2 linked regions of the Schizosaccharomyces pombe genome follow. The protein of the gene in region 1 interacts with the protein of each later gene in a pairwise test. Each region holds a gene or a part of one and is shown on either strand. Other genes may lie near its edges.

Evidence for each region.
Region 2: the proteins of rrn6 (region 1) and atg11 interact in a two-hybrid assay, tested with the Schizosaccharomyces pombe proteins (2 studies listed by BioGRID).

The regions. Positions count from the first base shown.
Region 1 is NC_003423.3:3,368,523-3,374,036, reverse strand, and holds rrn6 (RNA polymerase I transcription factor subunit Rrn6), read left to right. Parts: upstream 1-1,749; 5' UTR 1,750-1,852; coding exon 1,853-4,459; 3' UTR 4,460-4,740; downstream 4,741-5,514. Other genes in the region: Nem1-Spo7 phosphatase complex catalytic subunit Nem1, read right to left, coding at 1-572; ATP-dependent DNA helicase Irc3, read left to right, coding at 4,817-4,996, 5,041-5,172, 5,230-5,514.
Region 2 is NC_003424.3:2,629,722-2,635,381, forward strand, and holds atg11 (autophagy associated protein kinase regulator Atg11), read right to left. Parts: upstream 3,831-5,660; 5' UTR 3,649-3,830; coding exon 868-3,648; 3' UTR 727-867; downstream 1-726. Other genes in the region: SPOM_SPAC7D4.05 (hydrolase), read right to left, coding at 1-98, 188-264, 300-462; protein ahk1, read left to right, coding at 4,490-5,660. UniProt on the Schizosaccharomyces pombe protein: Involved in cytoplasm to vacuole transport (Cvt), pexophagy, mitophagy and nucleophagy. Recruits mitochondria for their selective degradation via autophagy (mitophagy) during starvation.

The sequences.
Region 1 (5,514 bases):
TGATTTCCATTAGAAGAACTGCTATAAGAATTAGAAGATCTATGTCGTTTGAAAGATGAATAGGCAGGATCCTGGTGAGAGGATGGGTAAGAATAAGAAGAATAAAACCTAGGACGGCGGACACTTGGCTGAGGGGGAAGCATCTCTCGGCGTTTATACGATAATAATACAGGAAAAAAGACAAACCGGCATAGACCCCAAAAAAAACTTGCAAGGGTAAACTCTTTCTCTTCATTCAAAAAGTGGTACAAAAATACACGAGCGGAATGAACGAAAAACGTATAAATTCGTTTCAGGAACACACGAATCCAGTAGACGACAACACGCATAATGTTGGCATGCTTCGGTTTTTCATTCCTTGTAGGAACTTCCTTTTCCGTCGGTTTTGATGACAAACTGCTAAGGCTGGACGCCGAATAAGACGATCTACGACGATTATAATGCCTCAAAGTAGCTGATGAAGCTCGCCCCCGAGCATTAGCAAGTTTTTCTTTGTCAGCTTCATCGTCGTCTAAAGGAGTGGCAAGGATTGCTTTATTAATTTCATCTGATAGCCTAGCAATCGAATTCATTACAATTATTTTCTCTCTGCTGCGATTGCAAAGAATTAAAAAATTCACCAAAAGAAGCGATGCATACAAAGTATACAACGACCAAGCAGAGTCCTTTTAGTAAAAAAGAGTAATTAATTAAATATGTGTTAGTTAGACCTAAAATATGTGGGAAAACAAAGCCAGAATCACACGGTGGTACGATGCACAATATATATAATGATGAACTACAACCCAAATAATAACATTTTCATAAGACGTAATGCTTAAGAAGATATATCAAAACTACCTTAAAGTAACAAATTTAAATGTAAACAATACGGTGTAAATATTTATTAAGTTCGTAAAATGAAAGTTCATTGCAGAAGCTTTCATTTTTTTTAACTAATAAACTTTACTTGTATGGGTTTCTGTGCAAGAAAAATTAATTTTCATTTTATTAAAAGTCTAAATATTTGTAGAAGCTAGCTTAATTGCCATTCTTTTAATCAACGTTTTGCTAGAATGTAAGTCGCCGAGCGGTCTTTTTAGGTTTCTTGACATTACTTGAAAGATGCTTTTAAGTCTAAATATATTTAATGGTACGTTAAAATGTATCAAGCTCCTTTAGACGTTGCATACAATAAATTACTTACAAATAACAGGCTGAACTAACTTATTGACTTTACAAAATTATAAACATATCGATAAAATTGGTTAAGCGGACACTAAAGAGAATTCAAAACACTTGCTAATCTGAATATTGCACTCTTCCTCAGGTATCAGCACCTCCTTACGTATTTTTTATGAAAAGGGAAAACTGGGCTAATGCAACATTCGTAAACCAATTTATCTATTGCTAAATCATTCCAAAATCGTAAGCGTTTGCATTTCATTGTAAAGGAGATTGTTTTGTTGCTGTGTTAATCTACATGTAATTGATAGCAGCTTAGAGACTTCGGAGAAGAACTCCTCTCCTACTTGAACACTGTCTTATGACTAATTTAAGTATTACTTTTAAACTTCATCTTTTTCTAGTAAAGAGAAATTCTCAGTTAACATAAATCAATAAATTGTTCAATTGAAAGCATGTAGTCGGTAGGAGTTATATTTTATATAATTATATAATGGTTTAAAGATAGCACTTTAAATATATTATAGTATAACAATAAAGTCAAGTTCTTAACTATAGGTGAAATTACTCCAGCATTGCTTCCTTGAAACACTGATTACTTGCTTTGTCGCTAGGTTGCTCTTGTATTGTCGTTAGATGTGTTTTTGTAAACACAATTCAATCTAATTTTATTTTTCTAATTATCTTCATGTCAACATGGCCTATTGATGCAATTAGTAAAAAACCTAGTGTAAGTTTGGATTATGGAATTATAGGGGCGTGTCAACTTTTAAATCCATCTGGCTATCACAGAGCGGAGAAGGTTGAAAATAATGAATGGACTTTTGCTAGGTATGACTCCTATACGGGCGTCGAGCTTGTTGACTTGGACAAAAGATGGGATATCTTATCTTTAAATCCAAACTACAAACTCCCTAAATTAACTGAGCTTCCTGCTGAGGCCACCAATTCCACGCGTAAAGCGACTAGTAGTTCATTTGGTTTAAGTGTTTGCAGATATGTTCCGCGAAATTTATTTTCTACACTAGCGAAAGAGTCTCAATTAGCTTCTTCTGCTGAGTCTATATATAATCCACATATTTTAAATACTTTTTGCTTGGGTAAAACAGCGCCATCAGATAAAAACAGATACACCACAACTGAATGTCTTGCTTGTAGCAAGATTAGCAATGAAACTGCGGAAAATCTCCTCTTTTTATGCCTCTCGTCTCCATGGATTTTTCGTGCATCTCCGACATTACAAAATACTGCAACTTTTGAAGAATTCCCATTTTACTTGAATGTATCGGCTTTTGAGTTTGCTGAGGATCCAATATGGAAATTCTCACAACCAGTGAGACAATTGGTTTTCTCTAATGGAGAACCAAGTTTGCTCTTCGCATTATCGTCTTGTGAGTTGGTTATATTCCAGGTAACTTATGATTTAATGTTCTTAGATGAGCCAAATACACCTGGATGCTTGTCCGCTATACCTCTGCGTTTTTTGTACGCAGATGATGTTTATAATTCTGACTCGTTTGCTAACGTGTCTGTCCATCCCACCGATAATTCATTTTTTTTAACAACTTCATCATCTGGTAGATGGACCATCTGGCAATTCTTAGATGATGGGTACAGGGAATGCTTCGGTAGTTCTTTCAAAGAGTCTTTGCAACAAGCATTATGTTCTGCACCAACAAGTTCCATTGCTTATCACGAAGAAGAAATAAATCCCGATAATACAATATATAGAGCTAAATGGGAAGAGTATTTTGGCGGTGTCATTTTGCATAATGCTTTTTTTATTCTTCATGTGTCTCTTGGGGAGGTACCTGATTTCCATCTTTTATTCCACTGCAGTTCAGATGTTAGGATTCTACAAGTGGTAAATGAATCTATGCCTATTAAATCTGAGTTTTTCATTTTAACTACCGAGTCCGTCTTGTGGATGGATATTCAACATCCTCAGAAGCCGCTACTTGAATGGAAACATAATAGAAAATTAGATCCTACTTTGAAAATTACGGTTACCGCTACTTTTTCTCAAAACATCTATGTCTCTGTTTATTCTCAAATGAATGGTGTTGTCCAACAAATTCATTTTTCAAAAGACAGAGCTCTACCTGTATCAGGTAGTCATCCATTTCTATTATTAAATGAGGTTCAGGTTCCCATAAGATCCCTCATTATACAACCTTGTTATTTTTTTGAGTCATCTGAATTTGACAGACAAGGTCCTTTTGATTCACCTTTTTGGTCTGCAATAATTGATAAGGCTGACGGATCTCTTTCCTTACATATTCTTTGCGAAAAAAGTTCTCTTAAAATATATAATTTAGAGGAGCTTACTGGTTCTAGCCAAGTTGCTATGAAATTTAAAACTATCACCCCTTCTGTAAACACTAGTGAAGATGATTCGGCAAATGATCAAGAAATAATAAGCACTCCGAATTCCGATTTTCAACAATTATCACTGTCACGGTTATACCATGTTTTGTGCTCTAATAGGAACAAAAAGAATACTATCACCCTTGATGAATTCGCTAGCAAAGTTCCGGATTTTGTAGAAGCTTTTGATTCTATCAATCACGATGTTATAATAACTTTGAGTGAGTTATATGACGGATTTCCTTTGAAAGGAACCTTTACTAATGTAGCTGAGATCATAAGTCATTTAGAAGGTACAGAACTATCATTTTATTTTCCTTATATGTTTGGTATTAACTACAACAATGCTTCTTTCTTTTATACTTCCGTGGACTCAATTGCTAGTTTAATACACAGGCGCTGGGAATCTAATACTGATAAGTCTGTCGAAATTCCTTGCTTTCAGTCTTCTCAAAGAAGATCTATAAAAAATGTTATTCACTATTTATTTCTTTCTTCTATAGGAGTCTCCAGGGAAAAAATATTTGATCCATCATTGTCTCGAAAGGAAATCGATTCAACCGACTTGCTTACATTTATCAAACCTTTTTATGATACGGAAGGCCTGGAGCTGAATGAAGATGTTAGAAATATTTTGGAGAATTGGGAGATTGGAAAGATATCTTCAACTTATGTCATTGGTGATAGCGCTGTCGAAACGGAGGATCCATCATCTAGCCAATTTAGTGATTTCTACATTTCACAACAGCAGTCTTCTGTACTTCCCTCAAGCCAAATTGCGACAGTCTTTTCTCAAGAAGATGTTCCTAATTTTTCATCGCTATACTCGGAGAGTTCTAGCCAAACTATCCCAATAATGTCACAAGTCGTTAGTGGCAAATATGGTTCTCGTCCTTCCAAAAAGAAAAAGAAAAGAAGCGGATTTTAAATCCACCCGTATTTATTTATCTGTAAGTGATTTGTTTACAACTTGGGGAATAATTTGCTTGAGTTATTGATACTATACCAATGCTTGGACATAAGGTTGGTAGTAAATTATTTGCATATATTATGAAATTGCTAAAATTTAAAATTTTTTTTTCTATAATGTTTATAGAACTTTCAAATTTTATATCTTAGTTAGCCTTTGTAAGTCAATAAAAGTAAGTAATAATTAATTGTCTGCATGTCATGCTAATTTATGCTCTGACAAATTATTTTAACTAAGCCATTTTATGCCCTTATCCATTGCTGTATTCTATAGTTATAAAATTATTTTTGTGTCAGAGATTATCTTGCCGTAGACATGCTACTAAACGCATGTTGCAAAAAGAATTTGTGGCCAAGAAATGGTTCAACTATATTTAGAAGATTTGCTCTTAAACTTCGTCCTTATCAAGAAGAATGCCTCAGTGCCTGCTTAAACGCTTTTGATGAAGGTAAACGTCGAATTGCTGTTTCATTAGCTACAGGCTCTGGTAAAACGGTATTACTGTTCTACTACTGACTGCAATATTAACACGTCTAAAGGCATTGTTTCCCCACTTTATAAAATATGCACCTACTTTAAGGCCAAACTCTGAGCAATGTCTAATTTTGGTTCACAGAAAGGAGTTAGCTTTACAGGCCCTCAAGCATTGCCGAGAAAGCCTTCCGAATAAGGTACCGTTCTTTTTCCAAATAGATTCCACGCTGTTTCGTTTACTAACTTTGCCATAGTCTATTGAGATTGATATGGGCAATCAGTGTGCATCCGGACTGGCTGATGTTACCGTTGCGTCAGTTTTTTCTTTAAAAAATGAAAGACTACTTAAATATAATCCTCTCAATTTTAAACTTTTAATTTTTGATGAAGTTCACCATATGGCGTCTCCTTCGTACTTACGAATCCTTGAGCATTTTGGCGCAGAATCGGAAAAATCGAAAGTGAATGTGATAGGACTTACTGCGACTCTTTTCAGAGCAGACGGAAAAGGGTTGGCTTGTGGCCTAGATGAGATTGTT
Region 2 (5,660 bases), on another chromosome or scaffold:
AGAGGATGAATCGTGTAACCCGTCTTTTTGGAAAAGTAACTCCATAGCTCTTCAGCCATTTCTGCAGGAACAGGAGTTGGAAAAGAATGTTCGATAACCTAAAATTGTTAGCATGTAAAGGTTTTTTAGAAATCAAGAGATTCAATTCTTTACAAAACACAAATCTCAATGAAATTCAGACACATACTTTGATCCACCAGTCATGAGGATTTAATCCTGACTTTTTTCCATGATTCTTATGCTTTTCACTGAAATCCTTGAATGCTAAATTATTAGATAAATAGAAACCAAAAGCTAACCTTTATTACTATTGTGTTCAATTTCATCAATAGTTGCATGAACTCCATACTTCTGAGCGACTTCGCTGTACACAATTGGAACAGGTTTACTTAAATGAAGGATTGTTCCAAAAGCATCGAACGTAACCAACTTGATCTTTTGGATATTTTTTGAGGGAATCATAATTCCAGGTTGTACTTTGATGGGACACACTACACAAAGCAATTTACATAAGGTACTCCTTACCACCAGTGCGTTGTTCGGTGTGATAAATAATATTTGCAAATCACTTTTATTGCGAGCGATTGCGTTCTACATATTAAATAATATACGAATAGATTAAAAGTTCATTAAAAATTTATCATGTTACAAGACGAGAGACACGCTACAGCAATAGTAGTCGTTAATTTACGTCGGATACCTTACTAGGCGAGACCAAAAAACAAATTTCAGTAAATAATGCCATAACAGATCAAAACCTGAAAAAATAGAAGTATGATAATACCAAATGTCTGTCATATAGAATCAGTCCCACAAATACAAGCAAAGAAAAAGCAAGTGAAGGTATAAGCTAGGTCACATAATGATTTAAAATCTTTCATCGATAGCTTCCACTAAATGCCATATTGTACCTGAAGGCAGGCGAAGCCATTTATCCGTCGAATCATCAGCAGTACGATCTTCAATGGAAGTTACCCTTCCTAACATCCAGTCGCGGCTTTCAAGTTTCAAATGCGGTTGAGTGTTCAAATAATAATGAGGAGCGTTAACATTAAAAGCCGCCCACACCTTTTTGTTACCGGCGGTACGTCGAGTAGGCAAAAACAAGACCAAGGATCCTTGTTTGAAATTCCTTAATGAGACTTTACTTTGAGAGTCCAAAATAGCTTTCAGCGCCTTGTCCCTGTTAGATTGAAATTCACGTTTCCAACGAAGTTCATGATTATGTGCTTGAGTCAAAACACTGACAACAAAGTTATGGAAAGAGTCAAAATCTAAAGAACTCATTCTGTTCAAAAATTCCTGGAAATTCCTATCAGCATCCTCCCCATCCATCCAATAAAGATACTGTAAATCTTTGGAATTAAATTCAATTTGGCGATCTGGAATCGATGCATGGCCATCTCTTTCGTTATCTGAATCAAATCCAGGCTGAGTAACGCATTCCCGAAGAACAGACTGTAACTCATTACACCGGAATACAATGGTATAAAGTTTCTGAGTTAATATCTTACATTGTTCTTTTCGATTCTCGGAAAGTTTGAGTAAATCAGCTTTCTCTGCAAGAGCATAATCTCTCTCTTCAATAATATGTTGTACTGCTTCGGCATCTTTTGCAAGAGTAGCGTATTCGCCCTTTTGCTTCAAACTCGTGAGTTGAAGCTTGAAAGCATTATAAAGTTCTTGCAAGCTATCAACTTTGCCCTCAAATACGGAGTAAAGGTTTAATATGTTCGGTTCATTAGAATGCATCTCCTCGTTTGATTGCTGTTCTGCAACTGCCGCTTCATTTTTCGTAAGCAGTTTCCGTGTTGATGAAAGTTCCTCCTGTAAATTTTCGTATTTTTGTAGCACTTCCTCATTTTCAGTTTCGAGGTATTGGATCTTTTCTTCCTTCCCTTGAAGCTCAATTAATAAGTCCTCATTTCTTTTATTTACCAAATCTAATTCGTTGCGTAATTGATTAACCTCATCTTGAAGTCGTAATATGTGGCTGTCGGTAAAAGAAGTTTTGCGATTAGTTAATTTACGAATTACGTTTAGAGGCACAATACTAGGGGAAACACGGTAAAATGGCTGAGAAGAATTAGACTGCTCATTGATGGGTGGATGTGGAGCATTTGGAGATAAACCATCATTGTTAATGTTATAATTAAAGCCGTTTTGATGGCTTAACATTGCCTCTAAATTATTGCAACGATTTTGATACATTGCCAATTTTTCATGTAATGAATTGTTCGCTTGAACCGTATTGGAAACGGCTTCTCGAGGACTTCCAGGAAAGCCCAAATATTCTGAGAGCCGATTGCTTAGCATTTGATGAAAAGTTTGGTAATTCGGATGTGCTTGAATATTGAGTAAATAATTAGAAATTTCGTCACGAGTTAAAACTGGTAAGTACTTTAGCTGGCCATGATTAAAAAGCAAATTAGAGAAATGACTGAGCCAAGACTTCCTAAGAGAAAGCTCCTTCTCCTGGTCTAAAGGAAGAGAACTATCATGGCTTACATTGTATGATTCCTGCCATTCAGTCCTCCTCAGTGCCTCCATTAAAATGTCGATATATAGCGAAAAAATGTTTCGAGACTGAGAAAGAACGAATTTGCTTCTGTCAAGCTCTTCTGCTATTTGTCGAAGATATTCGTACAATGCATCATATCTAAGAGAAACCTTATAAAAGGAAAGCCAAAAAGATTTCAAAGATATTAGTGATGACTTTCTAGAACTTTTTAATTCCGACAGATTACTTTGAAGTTTTTCCATGCAATCAGTAATTTCGGTTTCGTAATTACATTTTGGTTTGATTTGAGAAGTAGTTGAAGTTGACTCTATTTTAAGGATCTCTTGCAATATATTGGCTGCATCCTGAGCGACGGAACGTAGATGATAATAAGCATCATCTCCTTCCTTGATTGAAGGAACTTCCTTGAATGGGGAAACGATAATACTATTTGCGGCGCCAATGCACTGTTGGACTCGTTTTTGAGCTTCAGCATAACGAGCTGAAATGGAGTTTAACCAGGAGTCCAATTTAGTCCAATTTGTTGAAAGTATTTTAAGAGGAGTAATGGGTAAAGAACCAGTTGGTAGAGCGAGGAAATCATGAAGTAAATCAGACACAGATACTCGATCTAGTCTTTCGTAGAAAACGAAAAGTAAATCTTTCATACCAGATTGTCTTCTTTGTAAATAATTCATTGCAACTTCTGGAGAAACAATACTAGTAGAATACTCATCATGGCATACGCTTAATTGATTATGAATCTTTGAAGAAGACTCTAAAATATCAGATAATAATGAAAGACACTTGCTGATTTTATCTTTCCATTGATCTGAAGAAGAATCAGCTATAATCCCAGTAAGTACATTAGATATTGGTTGTCCTTTCAGAGAAGGAATAGAAGGAATTTTATCACCATCGTAGGTGAAAGTCAACAAGTTTTGATCTAGTACGTAAATAACCACATCACTTTCACTATTTAGTACGGTTTCATTCAAAGACATTCCGTTCGGCAATAATAGTTTTGCTTCATCACTAAGTCCAATATTGAGCTCCATAATCCAAGCTACAAGATTTTGGGGAGTCCATTGTACATTATCTATGGTCCAACTCTTTCCGGAGAATGAATCATTCAATCGAAAACGCATACTGACCTATTGTATTGCTTAACTTTATCATTCGCGATTCCCCAACATTAAACTTGAAATATTTGATCTAAAAGAAAACTCAATATCAGTTATTTATAATCCGTTGCATATAGTTATTCTCTGTCCTTATATTCCGTTTTGTTTGGTAAGTTGGCGGGTTCTATTTGGTTTAGGCGATTGTTGGGTACTAACTACCAAAAGGAGATTGGCATTGTATGAACACTGAGTTGAAGCTGTAAGACAATACAGCTTAAAATTTCAAATGTCTTTTCATTTAGCTTAAAAAAACAATTTTAATTATTGGTTTTATTATGTTTGTCTACTGAAATATATGTCATATGTAGCCGTATACCCTCAAGCTGGTGGGTTCGGAAACTCAGCCTTAACCAAGCATCTACACTGGGTGTGAACGAAAGTGTTGGGGATGCTAATTTACATTGCGGATTTCATATATTTAATTTAAAGATATCTTCTACTTGTTTACTTTTCATTCTTTTAGAATACAAGTATTCTAAACTCGGAAGTATTTTTCTTGTTTTTTTAACCGCGAATCTTTTGGTTACCGATTTCTCTGTCTTTTATCGATAAAGTTTTTAAAAAATTAAAAAAGTCAAAATTTCTCTACTGTAGGAAAAACTTTTGAGCATCTTTTAGCATATTTGGTACATTTTTTTCTGGCATTTGCATAGCTTGTCCTTTAAATCTTCATTTCTTTATTAGTGGTGATTGCACGGCTCATGTTAATTAATTTGGTTTTAATCTAGGGATTAATTATATTCTTTTTATTTGCATTTCACACTTATTCTTTTCTTTACATTTAGCTTCATTTCTGAAATTCTGAATGGGTGACTTTCAATCACGATATGAGATCCTTGCCGCTATTATGGGTCCTCCCAATACAGCCTCCTTTAAAGAGGAAGAGCATTCGGGTTCCCAAACAAAAAACTATCCTGTTGTGGTAAAATGTATTCAGGAACATGATCCCGTCGATACAACCAATGTGCTTGTAGCTGACGACCTTGATTCGAACTTTGAACCATTTTCGATTACAGATGATTATGGTAAATATGAAAACACTTTAGTAAGCCATTCCTCAACAATCTTAAATGAGCCTTACAACGAATCACCCTCATCATCATCTTCTGATTCCTCTTCTCGTTCTACCTCTCCTTTTTCTCAGTTGTCTTCTCAAAGCCTACGCCTTAATGCGGAGGAGATAGCGCCTTCTAGCTTAATAAATAAGGCCGTCCAATCTACCTTACGTCTTTCGGAGCCACTGGTTTCTCCAATAAAGTGTCCTTTATCCGAGCAATTCATCAATTTTATTAATCAGCAGGATTCTGATAAGGTAGTTCTTATAAGAGGGTTTTTATTACCACATTTGGCTTCTTTAACCACTAAAAACGTTTCCGAACCGGAATTGGATAAACTTAGGCATTCTTTGTATAACTGGTGGGTATCCATTCTTCGACGTTTACAATCTAATATTTCTACTTCAGAACGTATCACATATACAAAGGCCATACTTGCTATCGCCAAGCATCATTGTTGGAACAAAGTGGAACACTCTGCTTTATTGTACTTGGAACACCAATTAATACTTTACGATACATTGACATTTGTAGTTCATCTGCTTTCTCAAAAGTCCTTGCCGTATTCATTAACGACATTTTGTGCGAGTATCTTGGTTCTCTCCTTTTTTCAACTTCCACTTTTTGCCGACCATTTCTTGAGCGCATTAGATGTAAAGAAAAAGTACATTGATGCTTTGGGCTCATCCTTCGACGAAAAAATAATGATTATTTCACATAAGTATCTTGCGCCATTTTTTACTGACCAATTTTCCTCGACTATGCATCCGTATTACCCAAAACGAACTTCAACGCCTTTTACTATAGGTTACAATAGGCAGCCTATTGAATTCACACGAGCATGGATGCGTCGCTTTAAGTCTTCTACAGGTGGATTCTTTTTCGAGTTTTTATCATGCTATCATTCTTTTTTAGCTTTGC